Rhinolophus ferrumequinum: one gene and its partner. The protein of the gene in region 1 interacts with the protein of each later gene in a pairwise test. Links are inferred from orthologs where the notes say so. Each region holds a gene or a part of one and is shown in the gene's direction. Other genes may lie near its edges.

Region 1 (10,236 bases):
AGGCCGGCCCGATGCTCGTGTTCTTTGCTTGATGTCTGACTAGCAGTTCACCTGCAGGACTTCATGATCACCCTACATTAACTCTTTTCTTTCCAGTCTCCTGTTTTTATACTCCTCCCAGCTCTGGACTACTGTGGTATCCCACCCCGGTTTGGGGCTAGATGTGTCTGACTAGTTAATAAACCATTTGTTCAACTGTTGTTTTTTTTTTTCCCTTCCTCCAATGAAAGTGGAATTTGATGGGTAGATACATTTGGTTTTAGTCAATGAAGAAAAGGGCTGGGGACAGGACAGTTAGTAGCGGTGTGTACAGGTGGGGATAGTTTTGTGCAGAATACTCTGATTGTGCACATAAGTAGCAATGGAAGTGTCTTAAGAATATGGTAGGAAATTGTATGAATCAGTGGAGGTGCTTGCCTTTAATCTTATTTTTATTTTTCTGCAGACACAGAGTTCAGCCCGGTCCTTGGTAGGATCCAGTCTAGAAGGTGCAGTGACTCCCCCTCAGGCATCAGCATGGCTGCCCCCGACTTCAGCAGAACGTGAACATCCTCTGTCATGTGTGGTAACTCCTCAAGATGGGTGGGTTCACTTTGTAACAATAGATAGTTGTGTTTTCAAGAGCAGTCGTAGAAATGAGGCAGTAGAGCACAGTGGTTGAAGCATAGTCTTCAGTGCCATTTAGAGCAGGGTTGAGTCCTGACTGTCCCTTTGTAATAACCTTGTGCAATTAATTTGACTCTTTTACTGTTCATATATCCTCACCTGTACAATTGGACCTGTTGTGAACATTGGATTAGATGATGTATGTAAAGTGTTGGGAAATAAATATTCAGCAGATGTTAATCATTATTAGCTCAATCCAAGTTCTAAGTTCTCTCTCTGTTATTGGTTTATCAATTCTTTTACCCAAACTTTATTCCTTCCTTAACCATTTGTCACTGAGAAATCATGCTATCTTTTTGCATTTATCATTTTGGGGACCTTGATCATCTCTCTAATGAATTGCTGAGTTGAATCTACTCTATTTTATAACTTAGTATTTCTAATATCAAACTTTTTTCAGTGCCTTAAATCAGTTTTGCTAATAGGAACTGAAGTTTGAAGTCTTTTATTAATCACTAACTCTTCTGCTAAAAGCTGAATGACTATCCATCTGTTATTTTTCTCAGCATTAGATGTGCCACAGCCAGAGCAGGTGGCTCTTTGCTAGCTTGTGTATTGTTGCTTTTCTCACAACTCCCGGAGACTTCTACAGCAGCAGCATTTCCCTGGAAGCTCTGCCCATAATTAGTTTTGCAGATGTGTAGCCATGTTCCATCACTGCTCAGGAGGTCATGCGGTTGCATATTCTGTCCTCTACTTTTATGAGAGAAAAGTACATGGCAGGAAGGCAAACTGATATCAGGTATTTTATTTTTTTAAAGAAAGCAAGTTCCAGGGGTCATTATAAACTTGGCCCAATGTAATACAGCCACAGCTACAGCACAGGCTGTAATTAATTATTATAGACTTCAGGAAATACTCCATTAATCAGAGTTAAATAAAATTGAATACATTACTAACACTTTTGTTTTCATTAAAGACTTTTAGGTTTGTTAGGGGATGCTAATGGTTGCAAATGTCACCTCTATACAGGGAATTTCCAATTTGATGTTGTGGTTCGCGTAAGTATATTGGAAAGGAATTTTAAATATACTTTCCAGTAGGAATATATTATAAAGGAAAACTGATTTCAATTAGTATGTACCAGTGGTACTTAATCACCATGGATCGGGAACTATTGGCCTTAATTTTGCCATCTGTTGAATAAGAGCTGAATTAGAGTTTAGTTCTAAGCTAATAGTGGCTATCATCCATAGCCTACAACTGATTCTAGTAGGTAGGGACTCTGACGGTTAGTAAAAGGTGAGGAGAGGGGCTCTAGGGAAAAGGAAAGCATGGAAGGAGAAAACCAGAATCAGGATTTCCTTCCAATACAAACTTCCAGGGATACTTCTTGGTTCTGGGCAGCTTCCCTGTCACGCTGTTTTCTTTTGCTGTCCTCAGAAATCAGCTTGCTTGTTTCCTTTTTCATTGCTGTCACCTGTAGTTTCCAATCAGTCCACCTTCCCTGATCTTTGCAGAACAGATTGTACTTTTGTATGTTCTCCCTTGCATTTGTTTCTCTGAAATAAGCATGCTGTTTTTACTACTTGTAAGGAAAAGGATATACTCCAGAAACAAAATGAGATCTTTCATCTGTCTGTGCAATAAGGATCTTTTTTCCCCCCAGTTAGCATTTTCGGAGGTTGTGGAGGGGGGAGTTGTATATAAGTGCCACTTATATTTCAGACAAAAATCAGATTGGAGTAATAGTGGACTTCTTATCATTAGAGCTGGGCAGAGGCAACACTTGGCGTAACAAGCAGGACTGTGCCTCTGAGTGCCTGTGAGTGGGAAGGATGAGGAAACTGGAGACTACAGGAATCAGCTGCATTGGGGGTGCTGGGTTGCAGGAAAGGCTTTGATCATCCTGACCCTGAAGACCAAAAAATAGAGGAAATTCATATGCCCCTTTGCTGAATTTGAAAAGACTTTGTTTTTTCATCCCACAGGGAGACTTTGGCACAAATGATAGAAGAAAATTTGAACTGTCTTGGCCATTTAAGCACTATTATTCATAAAGCAAATGAGGAACAGAGCAGTAGAATGATGGTGAGTTTTTATATGGATGTGGATATGTGTTTTAGGTATGTTGGGTGCAAAGGGTTTAACTTTCCATGCTAGTTTTACCTTGCATTTCTCAGAGGAAAGAAAAAGAGCATTCAAGGAATATCCTTGACCTCAAATCCCCATCTTCTCTTATTTATGGTTGTACTAGGATTGTATCATCTTATCAGTAATCTTCAACAGTAGCATTTTTGGTCAAATTTGATTTAATTTAATGAATGTGAGCTTTCTTTGCAATGTGACCATTGAGATTGAATGGTTTGTATCTTTTTGTTTCAGCAATCAATTTTCTCCAATAAGATGGGACAGGATTTATATTATAATTCAGATACAGTAATTGCTGTATACAAAATGAATACTGTTACTATAGTTGTAATTAATAGTTTTTATATTAAGAAGATTTAGTTACTACTATGAATCACTCATTTGTTAAAACTTGGAGAAACTACAATAAAGTGTTGACTGAACTAACCTACTATTATTTAGTCTTGATGTCAACTCTGTATATTTCTTCTTTTATTAATTATTTGCTTCAAATATTTATGAAAACTTTGAAGTATGTTTTGAATTAGCAGAAAATATAGTAAACAACACTAATTGTAACCTATTTATAGTTTTGATTTTTCAACTTTTGATTATAAAATGCCCAAACATACAGAAAATCTGTAAAAATGAACCCATAAATCTACCACTTATAGTCAACATCTAATTGTAACTTTTTCATGCCTGGTTTTAGAATCTTGATTGGAGTTGGTTAACAGAATGACTTGCCACTTATTCACTGTCCCAAACCTTTGGAAGTTGTTGCACGTGTTGGAAATTTGTTTTTCTCCCATGAGACCCTTCTTCAGATACCATTCAATGGAAGAAATGGCTGTGATAAAAAAACTACACGATTTTACAAGAGCAATATTTTGACTTTTGGTAATCATAACCCCTGAACTGACAGAATTTGTTTAAATACTACAGCTACTTAGCTATCATTGCAATCCATTTGTCTTTAAACTTCGTAAAACATAACTGTTTAAAAATATCTTTTAACACTTAACTTTTGGGCATTAGGCCAAAAGTAATACCGGGGGTGCCAAAAAATGTATACAAGTGGACACTTTGGTCACCATTGCTCAATCAGTAGTTCGCCATAATCAAAAGTGTCTGGACACTGATGGTAACTACTTTGAGCACCTCTTGTAATTGCAGAAGTCAAAGGTGACTTGTATTCATTTTTTGTTAACGGTGTATGTTGAGTATTACAATTTTAATAGTTTTTTCCTTTCCTAAAATGTACATACACTTTTTTTGGCACCCTCTGTATATACAGAGAAGAAACCTCAATATATGTTCTAAGTAAAAGTTGTCTACCTGTGTTTCTGTGGAAGAGACTGCTCACAAGTCAAATTGCACTTCTTGAAGAATACCCCTACCTCCTTGTGTTGCACTCAGCAGTGCTCTTCCTGGCATCATAAGGAGTTGGGTCAATCCCATTTTCCATTTTACTGCACATTTGACAGTATTCCTTTCCTATAGGAGGGATTGTGTATCTGTGCCTTCAATACCAATTGACTGATAAATCTTAAGTGTTCTATGTGTATATGTATTTAAGATGTACATTTAGTAATATCAAAGAGATGCCTGTTAATTTATAATGTATTTGAAAGCTTATTTTTTTTCATTTGTAAAAATGGGTCATTTGTTTCAGGAATCTTTCATGTCTTGTACAAATTTATAAAGGTCTGCATGCCCTTATCTGTGATTCCAGAAAGCTTTGAAAACAAGGTTTTTCAGAAGCGTGATGACAAAACTCGCAAATTAACATGAAGTAACACTGAACATACTTATCCCATTTAGTGTGAATATTCATTTATTTTGCTGTGGAAATATTAACATGTTTGATTATTCGGCGGGGGGAAGGGTGCTGCCACAGACCCTGCTGGAGGTTTATGTAATATGGCATATGCACTGAATTATGTTTCTAAAATCTGAAAATTTCTAATTCTGAAACATTTGGCCCTAACAATTTCAGATTAAGGATTGTGGATCTATCATCTGTTAAGTAATTTAGAAGATACTGTTTTTTTAAAAAAATGTGAAATGCTTTTGTATTATAGTTTTTCACTTTGTGTATTAAATGATTTTTAAATTACTTTTTGACTCTATTCATTAAAATCAGATGAATACAGGTGACCCTTGAACAATGAGTGGGGTTAGGGGCATCAAGTCTCACGCAGCAGAAAATCCACATGGAACTTGTGACTTTACAGTTGGCGCCTCGCATCTGTGGATTCATCCAACCGAGGTTGGGAATGCGAAAATACCATTTTTGATCCATGGAATTTGCAGACACGAAACCCACAAATAAGAAGGGTTAACTGTATTTATTGAAAACAAAAGTGCATGTAAGTGGATCCACACAGTTCAAACGTGTGTTGTTCAAGGGTCAACTGTAGTTGAATATGATTTGGGAAAATTTCAAGTTTCCATGAATTGGAACTGGAGCAGAGGATAACGTAATAGGCTCTTACTGTATTTTCCTGTATGGAATTATACAGGATGTATAGTAAAGACCATATTGGGTAGCTGCTTTAATATAGTGCTTTCACCTGAGATGTCCTGTCACCACTATTCATGTCTAAAAACCATGCTCATATCTTGCCCTATAAATTTAGACACACCATCCCTATTTTTTCTAGTAGTGTCATTTTCCCAGTCATCTAAGTTTGAAACCTTGGGTTGTCTTCTAACTTTTTAGTCATCTGATACTGTTACTGGCACAGGGAGGGGTTCCTTGCCCCTCTCAGACTAGAAATCAAGAGAGTGCGTGAAACAGTTCTGCAAAGAGAAAACAGAGACTGGAACAAGTTATTTTTCATTCTTTTTGCTTTTCGTTAGTTAAAAAAGCTAAGCTCTGCAGATACCACCTATCTGGAACCAACAAGGTCCTGGACATTCCTAGGTAGTAAGAGTCAAATGAATGATACAGGTAAATGCACTTATTGAGGGGAGAGGGTAAAGTGGTCTGGGAGGGCTTGCTTTCATGAAGAATTGATTCTATTTACCCCTTCCTGTTTCCAGTTACTGCCATTGTAACTTTGGGCCCGCAATTGTCTAACCACTTTGCTTCCCTGCCTCCAGTCTGTGTCTCTCCTCTAAGCCATTTTGCAGACTCACTGGCCCTAAAGCACTGCTTTCCCATACTTCCCTGCCCAAGACGTTACAGAGTCCTTAAATCTTAGCCTACTTGTCCAGTTGTGCTCCCACTGCTAGCCTTCCAAGGCTTACAGGAACCATTCTTGCCCAACCTACTCTAATATGCTGCACTTATTTCCCTTGTATTTATCCATCTCACTCCCATCTCTACTCTTTAACTTTGTCCTTTTTGTTTTGGGTAACATGCACATAATGGATATTGTAAAAGAAAAGAAGAATATGCAGTGAAAAATTCTGTAGCCATCCAGTACCCGCTCCCTGAAGAAAAAAGTGCATTTGAGTCTTTCAAAATCTGAGCCTAGCCTAGCCTACCATCCTACTTTCCATCATACTGGCTTCAAGGAAGCTCAAATGCTCACTGTTGTAGTGTTTTCCTGGAGGACGCTGTTCCTATTGCTTGGATGGCCTTCATAAAGCCCTCTTTGGATCATCACTCTGGCATAATAAGTGCTCAGAAAAATACTTGATGAGTGAATATGCGGTTAGATTGAGTATCTTCCTCTTCTGAACTTCCACCTTACTTGGCAGTAAGTCTGGTTGCTCCTGAATTCAGTGCAGGATCTGTCCCTGAAGCACATGCTTGCCACATAGAGTTCGGTATAAACCACAAAAGGTCATAAAACGGAACAGCTACCACACTGAGTGTAGGGGCGGGTCTCTGCAAAAGAACAAGAGGCCCTCTGCTTTCTCTGCATCCCTTATTCCAGATTCCCGACTTCTCTTCTGGAGCAGGAAACCAGCAGTGCACAAAACAGAGCCTCCGTACCTTCAAGGGAAATTGCGCGGAGGGCAGCCGGGAGAATTTTGTCCCGTCCGCTCCCCGTCTCTGGTGGCAGGGCGAGCACTGCGTCGGCGTGCGTGCCTGCGCAGCCGCAGGGCTGGGCGAGTGGGCGGGGCCGGCTGTTGGCGGCGGTTGGCGTGGCCGGGGAGGCGGCTGCACGTGCGGGCGGGGGCGATGCGTCACTGATCGGTGAGGCGCCGCGGAGGGGTCGGATTGCCTTCGAACTCTGCCCCTGGCCCCCTTCTCAGTTAGTGCATTCTGCGGGGGGGCGGGGGAGCGGCCACTGGGAGCTGGGGGTGTCACGACGATTACTGAGCAGGGGCGGCCTGCGGGCCGCCTCCGGCGGAGAGGTTGGCGAGGAGAGAACGGGTTCTGCGAGGAGGAAAGAATGAGGGAAAAGAGGCACAGGACTCCCGGCTCGGCCTGCGGGAGGGAGCCAGTTGTCCGGATGTAGAGGGTGGAAACGAGGGGGTAGGCTTGTCGCTCACGGGCCTTGGGGTCCTTTCCTCCTTCATTCAGGAGGAACAAGCATGAATATGACTCAAGCCCGGGTTCTGGTGGCTGCAGTGGTGGGTCTGGTGGTTGTCCTCCTCTACGCCTCCATCCACAAGATCGAGGAAGGACACCTGGCTGTGTACTACAGGTGAGCAGCGTGTGCAGCCCGCTCAGCTTCTCCGGCAGGTAGAAAGGGGACTCCCGGGAGAGGAGCATCTAAGAAGTTGTTTCCTCTGTAGCGTCCGGAGAGCCTTCTCCAGTCCTAGAAAGTGATTTTCGTCCCAGCCCTAGGGAGAGTATGGGGGGGAAAGGAAGGCTTTTGCAGAGCCCCCTCCGGGTGGTGGACAGCTTTAGTACTATGTCCATTTGGTGCCAAGGTTAAGAGTCCCTCCAGTTATTCCTGGTAGACAGTAAGTGCAATCATTTGTAGAAAAAAGACAGGCAGGCAGGCAGAGGTCACTCCACCTGTAACTGATGAAATGGATAAATTGTCGTATTCCGTACAACTGTGCAGGCTTTCAGTTTGCAGCTTTAGATTCAATTTAGAACTTGGCTTGGGTCGCGTTTGTGATGGTTCTTTAGATTTTTTTTTTTCTTTTAAAAGCCCGTAGTGTCTGGTTTTGGCTTATAAGGCCAAATAATGATGACCATGACAATTGTTTTTACTCGTATGTCTTCCCTGGACCTGGAGAGAGAAACACAGCATTGATGGACCACCCGCCTGCCACCTTACCCTTTCTTTTCAGGTTGAGGAAAGAAATGGTGTGGAGTGTGTTGCTCTCTAGTTGAGCTCGAATAGCTTTTCCTTCAACATAGTACCACCAATTCTTTTTGATATAGACAGAGGACAGTCTGCAGAAATTGTGCTAATGCTGTATTTGAAAGGGCTTCCACTTCTGGTTTCCATCATCCTCCCAAAGTGGTATTTTCTACTTTTCGATCCATTCTGAGTCCTAGAAACAGTCTTCTCTGTGAAACGCTAGTTTCAAATACAAGTGTAGTGATATGTCTTAGCAGATGGAGGTCTAGCATAAAAAATGACAGATTAGTCCATATTTCCGTCTTGTCTTGGCAGTAAAACCAAGGAAAATGCATGGCTCTCAAAGAATTTAGGGATGGACCTAAAACAGGTCATCCTTTTCAAGTTATTAGTTAACGGATTTTTTGCAAACCTGTGTCTGTTTTCAAGATACAAACTTAAGTTCTATGAAGTTATTCTTCACAATGTAAAATAGGACTTTTTTTATATCTGCCTCCAAAATGCCTCCCTTTTATAATTTCCAAGATGTGCTTTCATAGTTATCACATTCCAGCATTTGGTAAATAAGTCCACGCTTACATCCTATCTATTTATAGTTGTATTCCCTTACCCTTTATCTTTCTATGCTAATTTTTTGTTGTTTATTATATAGACTTTATATCCCCAGTATTTTAATTGCCTTGTAGGTAGATTAAAAGATTCTTGAGCCTTCGAAGTTCTCTCCTCCCTTGAAAGTTTGTGTCATTTTTTTTTCAACATAGTGATTAAATGTATTATGTTTTGAACTCGTGTTATGTGCAATTAAAGTATAGCAACTAAGAGCCTTAGAATTTTTTTTCACAAGTACTTCTCAGATGGTTAAAGACCAAGGAGAATCCTTCCTACCTGAGTGCAGTGCTGGAGACCCAGAGGTATGGTTGGTCGAGCTTATGAAACAAGCTGTAACATCGGCAGCTTAATGTGATCCTTTCACCTTGTTAGCTGTGGCAGATATTTTAGGGACCAGCAGTTGTTCATTGTGAGTAATTCATATTAGTGAAGCTTTAATAGGTCAGCAGCATGAGTAAGAGTGAATATTTATTACAGCATTTTAGATTTGGAAAGAGCATTTCTCTATAATCTTGTCAAATTGAAACATCTTTTTGCAGGGGAGGAGCTTTACTAACTAACCCCAGTGGACCAGGCTATCATATCATGTTGCCTTTCATTACTACGTTCAGATCTGTGCAGGTGAGTGATTCTTAGGAAAGCCTCCACACTGGATAGACAGGTGTGACAGGAACAGTTACAACATTTGTGGGTGGAGATACATTTCCTTATTGCTTAAGCAGATGGTGGTATTTACTTAAATGCAGAAATTAAAGTTCAAAGTACAGTTGTCACAGCACAGGTTATGATTTTGAGCCACCTCACTCTTTTTGAAGTATATAAGCAGTAATACCTATGCAGCTTGGAAAAACTGACTAGAACTGATTTCTCCCGTCTATATAGTGGTGTTTTCTGTTGATGCAGTGAAAATAAAATCAGGACTTTAGAACACACTTAGAAATACAAATCAGTGATCACTTGGTGTAGAACAGTGTTTGGTTTCCATAGAGGCAAGCTCTTGGGCTACTGTTAACATGGTGGATCTGAATTTTAATACACAGCTTTTCTGCCTCACATTTTTGTCTGGGACATTCAGCACAATATTATGTGGAACCTTAGTGAATGTTCTATTTTGATAGCATTCCAGAATATTGGAAATAGCGTCTGATCATTGAGAACAGTGTCTTGGCCATGGGAGATACTTATTAAATATATCTTGACATAAGATGACAAAACAGGATTTTATTGTGACTACTCTTGCACACTCAGTGTGATTATAAATCTTTGAATTCAGAAATTTGTCTACTATCTGCTGATTTTTCGAGACTCAGGCAAATTTTAATGTATTTATCTTGTAATTTAAGTCGAGGCTTCCCACTAAGTTAGAGTTTCATTATGAATACTTAAATTCTCCAGGTTTCCTTCCAATTCCCTTTTAGATGGCTTAGGGCAAGAATTGTGTCTGTTGAAATGAAATGTGTTCTTCCTTTAGTCAGACCGATTTCCGTATTGTTTTCTTATATTTATTTTATTCACTCTTGCCTTGGTTCATACTGTCACCTCTTCTCTCCCCATTTCTCCCTTCCTTCCTTCTCTCTTGTCTGTGAATTGCCAGCCTTCTAAAGGCTCATCGCAAATCCCTCTCCTTCTAATCTATAGCTCTTAAAGTCTGTATTGTAAATTTTGTCCCGTG
Region 2 (10,124 bases), on another chromosome or scaffold:
ATTTCAAGAGACTTAGATTGGCCTCAAATCTTTCATCTACACTAAACAGTAAAGGACACTGTATGCCAAATAAGTAGAACACTAAACAGCTACATCTAGAATTTATTGAACCACAAATAATTTAACATCCAAGCAAGCTCTTACTCACATGAGTTAAACAGAAAGACATTCTAGACTTACACAGATCAATACATATCACCCATGTATCCTTGCTCCAAAATTCTACAAAACAGACCAAAAAATTCCAATGAGAAAGACATGACGTAAGAGAAATATCAATGAGAATGAAACCAACGAAAATAAATGTCAAAAAAGCTTGAAAGTTTAATTATGAAACAAGCGAATGCTAAATAATTTTATCAATTAGGATACTGCTGACTAAAAGTGACAGAAAATTTTGACTTAGCTGGCTTAAACAATAGAAAAAAAGGTATTTTTGTAGAACGAGTCCTAAGTCATGATGATTCCAAGGACAGTTAAAACAATGACTCTGACATGTACACACACACACACACACACACACACACACACACACACACACACAGATTCTTTCCTTCTTCCTATCAGTCTCTTTAAAGTACATCAACTTTGTCCTCTTTAACCACCCTCATTACATCAAGGTGGTTACCACAGTTCCATCTATTACATCCAGACATGATATATAATCGAAAAGGGCCATTATCTTTACATTTATTGACTTCTATTCATGACAAAAACTTCTCGTACATTTGCCTTCGTATTTCACTGGCCAGAATCATATCACATGTTCATGCTTACACCAACACTGGTTTAGAATGGGACCACCATGACTTGGTTAAAATAGACCAGAAGTTTTCAACCTCAACACTATTGACATTTGGGCTGGATGATGCTTTGCTGCAGGAGCTGTCCTGTGCTTTGCAGGGTGTTTAAAATCATCCCTGGCCTCTACCCACTAGATACCAGTAGCATCCTCTCCAGTTGTGACAATCAAAAATGTCTCTAGATATTGCCAAATACCACTGGTTGAAAACCACTGGAATAAACTCATCAAGATTTCCCTCTGATGCCAGCTATAGGGCCCACCTCCTCTAAATATACAACAGCACAGAAATAAGGGACTATCTGAAGGAAATCATTGTCTTTCATAAAAGAAGCATGTATGAAAGAAAAATAGTCATAAGTAAGCAACCAAAGGTATTTAGTACAGCAATTCTTTAAAAGGGACCTACAGCAAATGTAAACTATGAAATTAAAATCCTGTATTACCTGAAACAAAACAGAGGGAACATAAATGAAGAGCTTTAGCAGGACTGAGGACTGTTAGTGTATTGGTCACTCCTCAAGCACACAAAACATCAATCTGTATTTACAAAATTATAATATGCAATTTAGTTGACTTGTAGAATATGTTTTTAAGCATGGATTTGCATTGAGGATTTGTACGTACAATATTTATTCCCTAAGGACCCTGACCAAGTATTGCATTCGGCTGTGTGAAGTAGAAGATCCTCTTTCAGGGAACGTTCCTCTATTAACATGTTTTGAAATTATCAAAACAAAATGATTCCCTACACAAAGATATATAATTCCCCTAGAAACATAATTTATTGTGTGGCTTGGTGCTTTCACATCTGCAGCTCGTGAATATAATTTAGCTTTTACAGATTAAACCATAGCCTTTAAATTCAAAGTTGTAAATGTCATTACAAACATTATATTTGCCATCTTAAGATTCTTCGTTCTCCACTCTCATGATAAGACCACACCCACACTCTCTCCAACTCTTTAAATGGAGCCGGCTGTCCCACACATCATCCAAGAGACCTTGAATCCCCAGACCCCACTGTCTATTCCTCTCCTTCCCTTTGTTCTGTTACTCCCTGGCTCTGCTTTCTTCTTCCCATTCATTTGGTAGCTACTCTACTGCTCTCCATTCATTTGGTAACTATTTTTGGATTGGAGGCAGACTTGCTATGGCTGCCTCTCAACTCTGCACACTCCATTTTAATTTCACCCATAATTTCCAAAACAGGCTCTCCACAAACTGTAACTAGGGAAACTGAGTGGCCAGTCTAGGTCCCTGATCTCCCTCCATGAAAAGAAAAATGCTCTGCCTATTCAAGGCATAGAGACATTTTTATGGATAAAAGCAAAATGTTACCCCCACAGGCTACAGGGAAGAGCTTAATTGAAAGACTTGAATCTAATCCGAAAGCTACATTCATGATTCTATTTAATCTTATGTGGCCCACAGGGCAAGAAGCAAGGAATAAATCCCGAGTACATTCATATTGTGAAAAATAGCACATGTTTACGAAGTGTTTGGTTGTACTACTCTGAAAAAGAGACTTGAGATGCTTAAATAAAGAGTTGTTATTTTGCAATAGGAAATGGAACTATTCTTGACGGAGCAAGAATCTATAGGTTGCTGACACAACATGAGAGGCTTATAAAAACACTATGATTTTAAATGTTTGTTATAAAATAACACTGCTCAATAACAAATTCTGGAGATAGCTATTCCTTTAATCCACAGAATCTTTTTTTCTAGAAACAAAAATTTTTTAAGTATTTTCTTCTACAGGATTTAGCAAATAAAGACAGTTAAATGTTCTCTACAGAATAGTCTTTCTCTTTTATTTATTAGTTTCATGAAATTACCAGTTCTGAGATAGTAGGATATTAAATGTTATCGAAAATAGAAGGTCAGAAATATTGATAGAATGACATCATTTGTGTTAATAAAAAATAGGAAGATATATACAGAGATGATAGATAAATCAATTAGATAAATAGATAATAAATGGATAGGGACATGCTTAAATATAAATAAATTATTTCTGGAAGAAGGCTCAAGAAGTTGATAATTATTGCCTCCAGTTAGAAGATGCATAGACTGGAAAGTGGGTGGGAAAGAGATCTATTTTCCACTGTCGACCTTTTTGTACTGTTTTTGTTTTTTATGTATTCTGAGATACTGACAAACTAAAACATAAACAGACAGATGGACACACAAATACACAAAGTGGATAGGTAAATCCTAACCTAAAATTCAATTTATGATTTATGTAACCAATTAATCTTATGAAAATATGGGTCACTAGTCTTGAAAGAATTAACGCCAAATGTGGACTATCGTGACTAATTAAAGAGCCTTTATTTAATTGGATAAATTACTATTCTGTTCCCAAATGAAACAGAAAGGACCTACAATTTTGTAGCTTGGAAATTTAATAAAACATTTAAAATAGATGTTTCTAAAGAAAAGAATAAATGAATGAACTAATCAGAAACAGTCTCAGAGACATAGAGGAAAAACTGAGGGTTGCTAGATGGGAGGGAGGGTGGGGATAAGGAGGAAGGTGAGGGGATTAGAAAGCACAGTCGGTAACCACAAAATTGCCACGGGGAAACGAAAGTCAATTTGGGGAATGTAATCAGTAATGTTGTAAAGATTTTGTAGGGTATCCAATGGACACTTGTCACATTAGGGAGACCACCTAAGGGATGATGTAGATGCCTGATCACTGCACTGTACACCTGAAGCTGAAGCTGAACAATAATGAATGTCAACTATAATTATACATATATGTATATATATGTATATATATGGAAGCGGAGTACAGCATTAAGAATAGAGACAGTGGAAATGTAATGGCTGTGTGCAATGTCAGAGGGGTAGTGCATGGGGGATAGGGGGTTGTCACTGTGTGAGGGATATAAATGATAAATGTCTATTACATTGTTTTGTGCACCTGGAACTAATAAAAAAATATTTAAAAATAAATAAGTAAAATAAAATAGATGTTTCACCTTATAAAACTGAAGAAAGGACTCTAAACAGAGACTAAAAACAGTATTTGAGATAATTTTTAAATAAGATTAAAAGTAGAATTGAAACTATCCTCCACTGAAATAAATTTTCTCGAGCTTACCAGGTAACCAAGCACCTACAGGAAGATTAATTTTTAAAAATTAAATTTTTAACTTAATTAAAAATAGTATGGTTTACAGAGACATACCAACTGAAGCTGATGACAATTTCAACTATACTATTTACCACGAGGACAACTTTGAAGGTGATTGCAGGCAATTTTATAAAAAGAGTAAATATAAGATCCCATTGAAAAAATAAAGACCAATAATACCAGAACAATCTTCAGAAAAATACCAGCCACCCAGTATCAGAGACAAGCATGGTTAAGAAACCAATTAACAAACATATACAAAGAATAATTTTTAAAATTTCAACATAATGTGCATGAATGTACTTTTTAAATTTTTAACTTTTGAGAATAATGTTCAAGAGTACTCTTTGTGATCCATTATATAAGAAAACCAGTTTGAGCTGACAAATATATTTCAAAATCTTATTTTAAAAATTAAATAATTCCAATAGATTATGTTACCTCCTTTTACTCTCAAAGTTGTCCTGTTTTAGAGGATATATTACATAGTTACACTAATGGGTGGGAACAAAACATGTTGATCAGCTCAGACATAGGACTTAGTTTCACTGCCTCTTAGGCATTTGACTTCTTTCTCATTCTCTTCTCATTATCTATTAAAATACATTATGTGAGGAGTTTAGCAGGGATGTCAGAAGATTTTGAGAATTTTCTATAAACCACTGCTTGTCAAGAACAAGGAGAAAGCACTTCCACTCTCCTCTGTAAGAGGATCACTGCCCAGTTGTTTCTTTGCTTGGAAATTCTGGGTTTGAAATTAAAATTGTAAGTCAAGTTTCTTAACCTTCAGCAGAAAGAATTCTATCTGAATAGCATGTCCCAAGGAAGGTTCCCTTTGAGAATCCTTTATAAGAAAGAAAGCACAGCTTAAACGAATAAATAAGTTAGTGGTATAGTGCGAGACTACTACAACCTGGCTACATGGGGTTTCTCTCAGGATCACAAGGAAAGTTCAATTAAGAAAACTATAAATTTACTATATGAAATTAGAAAACCCCTACATCCATCTTTGTAGAACAAAATCCAACATCCCTGCTTTTAAGAGATGTAGTATAGGACTATGAAATGTCTCCCTTCTTAACGTAGTGAATCAAACCAGCGCTATGTCTGAAGTTACAATACGAGAAGCACATTCACCTTGATGTCAGAAGCAAGACAACCATCACCCGCCCCCTTTAACAATGCATTTGTTAATATATTGAGTAATTAGACAAAATGACTGATAGAGAGGAAGGAGGGAGGGAGGGAGAAAAGGGAAAGAGTGAAGAAGGCAGGGAGGAAGGAAGGAAGATTATTGAACAATAGGCTAGATTAGGGAACAAACGTATTCTGTAAAAGGCCAGATAGTAAATATTTTAGGGTTTGCAGGTTATTCAGTTTCCATCACAGTACTCAACTTTGCTGTTATAGTACAAAAGTAACCATAGACAATACATAAGGAAATGAACATGACTGTACTCCATCCACTAATCGTTATTTATCTACACTGAAATTTGAATTTCATGTTTCACATGTCACAAAATATGATTCTTCTTTTGATTTTTCCCAATCATTTAAAATGTAAAAACAGTACTTAGCTCCCAGGTTGTACAAAAACAGGTGGGCCAGATTTGGTAACCCTCTCCTAGATCATTTTAACAGTAATTAATTCTGGGAAGTGAAAGTGTGTCTCTGTGTGTGTGTGTGTGTGTGTGTGTGTGTGTGTGTGTTTGGTGGGGTGCACAAGAAAAGTACTGGTGAAGGGAGAAGAGAATTTTACTTTTTATTTGGTACAACTCTATACTTGGAAAAAGTTTTACCATAATTATGGATTAATTAGAAAAAAATTTAAATATAGCTATTAGATAAATATAAACAAACTTATCTAATTGCCTGTTTTCCTATTTTTTTGTATAGTAAGGTAAAGGTTTTTATTAAGACTGTAGAGTAATCAAATTATTAAAATGTTGAATTTTAAAACAGCATTCTCTCTCTCTCTCTCTCTCTGAAGAAAAAAGGACCTGGTCTCTTTAGCTGTTAATTGCATTCCTGTAAACAGAGTAACCCTTAGGAATTCCTGTTTGCTTTATATCTAATCTGCAAGCCTCACTGAACTTTCATCAAGAACAATGGTGTACACACAGTTCCTACATTCATACCAGTTCCTTTCTCCCCACTTTTTTTTTTCTGGTGTTGAACTCCCGCCAAACATTAAATTACCTTGGGAAGTAAAAGGTAAACGAGAAAAAAGCCCAAAGATTGTATTTGGCCTCATTTTCTGAGGACACTCAATCTTAACTTAGAGAAAGAGAGAAGAGTTTATTTTAGCGTGAGAAGCATGAGAACTGCAATGAAACACAGGGTTTTTCAGACAAGCCCCTTTTTTTAGTTTGCAGGTGACTGACTGCTCTTGTTTCGATGCAGGTGGGGCTGTAGGTCAGGGGTGTGTGTGTGTTTGTGTCTATAAATCCACACCCATTTTAAACCAGAAACATCCAGAATATACTTCCAGCAAGAGCACTGGCTAGTTCAGGTAAGCCAGCAAAATTTCCTGATTATATAATCGGTGGTCAAACTCTGCTACAGTATTTAAGTAATCCGTGTGTCACTATTCAAAAGTAAGATCTTTCAGTAAAGTGTAAGGAGCATTCAATGGACTTGGATATTTTTCTTTTAGAGAACTGGATTTCTTCTGCTGCCTTCATGCTTTTATTCTCTGCTTATATTAATGATACTATAATAAACCAGCATTGGAAAAAAAAACTCTTCAAAAATGATGCTATAAGTAACAATTGTTTTTCCCTGTTCTCCTTTAAATGTTGTTATAATTTAAAATAAGGAATATCTTTCTATAATATCTAAGTAAATGACTTACATCAAATTACTTTTGAAAAGTAAAATACTAGAGTTAGAAAATGCTAATTGGCCAGCGTTTATAACACCTAATTGTAGACGGTTGGTTATGTGCCTCCTAAGTGTGCTGTAAGCGGCTCCAGGGTTGTTAACCATGTAATTCATCAGTGCCCCCCCAAGCAGCTGAACTGTGCTTTTGGTGTTAGAGAACCCTCAGCAGTTCAAGTTCTGTTTCTTTAAGGAAAGCATTGCTTATTCAAAACTAACAATACATAAATTGGTCAGCTTTGTCATGGGATGTATTTAACATCTATTTTTACCATTTATCAAACACTGTAAAATAGAAAATTGGTATTTTGATTGTTTTTTTAACTAGAACAGTCTTCGACAATAGTACATGATAACTTGAATTTTGAAAAAAAAAGCTTGCCAGCTTTAAAATAGGAAAATGGTGAAGTTATACTTTTTCTTTTTCCATGTAGATTCCACCTACTTATCTCTATCTCTACCATAAAGAACCTTTCTGATGCTGCCTCCAGATTTAAGACCCTGCCCTAGATGGTTGCTTCAGTTTCTCCATGGCAACTTTCAACCTGACACAGCTTGCCTTCCCTTCATTGCACTTTGTGTGCTCGAGTCAGCTCTCTCTATCCCCTAGTGAACTTGACCCTTTCTTTGTTTCAGTCTTTAAGGTACAAGATGACAGGTCCTTAAAATAAAAGATGGCATTCTGAAATGTTTTCTGGTATTAATAAGCTATAAGAACTTAAACTGAGGCCGTTATCGTGCACCATGGTGATTGTTTAACAGAGTTTTTCCATAATTGAACACAAAGAAATATAAAATGGGGTTCACTGCAGAGTAGGAAGGGAAATGATTTAAATAGGGCTAGCCTGGAGTGACAACCATTTTCAATCCAAAGGGGAACTGAAGGGAAACATCATTGGCAAGGGAAAGGTACTACAATGAGAGGAATGAGGAAGTGTCTGGAGAAACCTAGAATCTATAAACCTTCCCACCACCAAGTTATCTTCCTCATTAACTACCGTTGCTCTATTACATAAGGATCTTATTACCAGTGTCAAGCAGTAAATTATTGTAAGGAACATTTGTCTTATTAATCTTTCAATTCTCCCACAATGCCTAGTACAGTTACATATAGCAATAGTCATGTTTGGGTAGAATCACAAAACAGTCAATTCGCTATTTTGGTAGGAAGTTCAGTACTAAATAATATAAGTCAACAGGAAAACGGTTTTAAAGGAATTTTAAATCAACGTGAATGATTTCTGTACATTTATCTCATATTTCGAGGTAATTTCATGACTGCATATGTCAACTATTTCACATGGGTTTTATATGCTACAAATAACATTTATCAAATAGTTTAAGGCCAGGTCCAACTCTAGACTTGATTATATCTTAAGATAGTACATTGACTTGAAAAGCCATTTGAATTCTAGTAACCAAGGGAGAACTACAGACAGCAGGTTTGTTCTTTTTTACACATATATTTATAACAATATGACAATAAACTTGATTTCAGAAAGAGCGGGATTGTAAACTGAGGGGTAAAAGGCTGAGTAACAAGTGGAAGGATGAGAAATATAAGAGACTATCAAGGAACAGAATCTTCGTCTTCCACTTTTTCTCTGAAATCTATTGTAGGCAATATTTGTTCATGCCTAATCTTATTACATTGGCGTAGAGTTAAAGTGTTATTTTAATCTATCAGATCAAGAAGAATCAAAAGAATATTTATGCATGCCAGAGGTCACCATTGCATTATTCTTTAGAGATGAAAGACCTTTAACAAATCCTATCTTATTTGAGTTTCACGGTAGAGCTGTGAACACTAGAATGCCCTCAGAAATGAGTTCTGAGTGCCCCAATCCAGTTCTCTTTCAGCTTCATTGTACTGCTCCCACGATGCCCAGAATACGGCTTTTCACCAAGTGGACACTTATTGAGTTGGGTGCATTTTAAAAATATTTTAAAAATAAAATGCGAATGACATTCCAGGAGGTTATACTGTGTCAACTCACACAAGCAGAGCCACCTGTCAGCATAGCTTTTGTCTGACTCGTAACAAATGTCTTAATGACAGCTTGAAGTAACCTTCTAGATTCTGAAAATTATTTTCTGTCGTCTAGCTTTTCCAGAGGGGTTCTCAAGGACACATGATGTTATACTCAGCTTCAGCCCTCTGCCTCTTGCTCGTCGCAGTTTCTTCTAACCTTTCCATTACAATCAAAAAAGAAAAGAGGCCTCCTCAGACACTCGCGAGAGGTACTGGAATCTCATTTTGTTTCCTAAACTCAGTCATTGGGATTATTTTAAAATTCCTCATCTCTTACCCATAATCTCCTTATAAAGCAAACTCAATTAACTGGAATATTTTGTTGTTTACCACTTTAAAATAGGCAAAACAAACCAAAACAGAAGGGTAAGGGGGGAGGGGGATGGTAGATGAGGGTAAAGGGGATCAAATATGTGGTGATGGAAGGAGAACTGACTCTGGGTGGTGAACACACAATGGGATTTATAGATGATGTAATACAGAATTGTACACCTGAAATCTATGTAACTTTACTAACAATTGTCACCCCAATAAACTTTAAAAAACAAAACAAACAAAAAAAAGCAACAACAAAAGCAGAATCAGTTGATTTTAAAAAGTGAACCAAATCAACTGTAAAACAATAACAATTTGCTATATCTTTTACAGAAATAGTGGAAAATTGGTTTCCTATCCTATAGCTTTAATAACCAGAGTTCTGGAAAATAATATTGATTGATATGTCATAACAATGTCCTAAAGGAGATGAATATCCCTCAGAATCTGCTCCAATTCCCTGTTCTCTATTCAGGCAAAAAAATAACAATTTGGAATGATTTTATACAAGGATCCTAGATAATTATACTTTATCCCTCCCTCTGAGAGTTTTGGTTAACCAAGTGTTTGCTATATTGGCTCCTGAAAACAGCTGCAGTGGTTTTAGACACCATGATCTAGATCTATCATTAGCTACATGTTTAGAAAACATTTCTGTACTTACTGTTTTCCTTGGGCCTAAGAAACAAATATATCTTCATCTGCAAAGAAACAATTTATAAAGAAAATCCTTAAAATTGGTTCCTACATTTCCAGGTAATCAACATGGGAACAAAATCATTTGTCTCCAGATAGCTAATTTAACATTAGTAGTACAAACTGCAAAACATGTAACCACTACTTGAAACAGTGATATGAATGGAGCAAACAAATGGAGACCAATTACAGCATCATTTCAAATTTTAAAATATTGACTTTCTTTCCAAGTTCATTCATTCCTTAACAGG

Evidence for each region.
Region 2: the proteins of ERLIN1 (region 1) and AGR3 interact in binary tests that used the Homo sapiens proteins (3 or more experiments, as listed by UniProt). The two-hybrid records come from large-scale screens. The link is inferred for Rhinolophus ferrumequinum from reciprocal best matches to the Homo sapiens genes ERLIN1 and AGR3.

The regions. Positions count from the first base shown.
Region 1 is NC_046299.1:24,341,397-24,351,632, forward strand, and holds the start of ERLIN1 (erlin-1), read left to right. Parts: upstream 1-6,128; 5' UTR 6,129-6,947; intron 6,948-7,219; 5' UTR 7,220-7,230; coding exon 7,231-7,343; intron 7,344-9,103; coding exon 9,104-9,185; intron 9,186-10,236. Other genes in the region: CHUK (inhibitor of nuclear factor kappa-B kinase subunit alpha), read left to right, coding at 446-582, 2,598-2,697, 3,449-3,478. UniProt on the Homo sapiens protein: Component of the ERLIN1/ERLIN2 complex which mediates the endoplasmic reticulum-associated degradation (ERAD) of inositol 1,4,5-trisphosphate receptors (IP3Rs).
Region 2 is NC_046303.1:22,233,963-22,244,086, forward strand, and holds the start of AGR3 (anterior gradient protein 3), read left to right. Parts: upstream 1-6,203; 5' UTR 6,204-6,462; intron 6,463-8,935; 5' UTR 8,936-8,962; coding exon 8,963-9,071; intron 9,072-10,124. UniProt on the Homo sapiens protein: Required for calcium-mediated regulation of ciliary beat frequency and mucociliary clearance in the airway. Might be involved in the regulation of intracellular calcium in tracheal epithelial cells.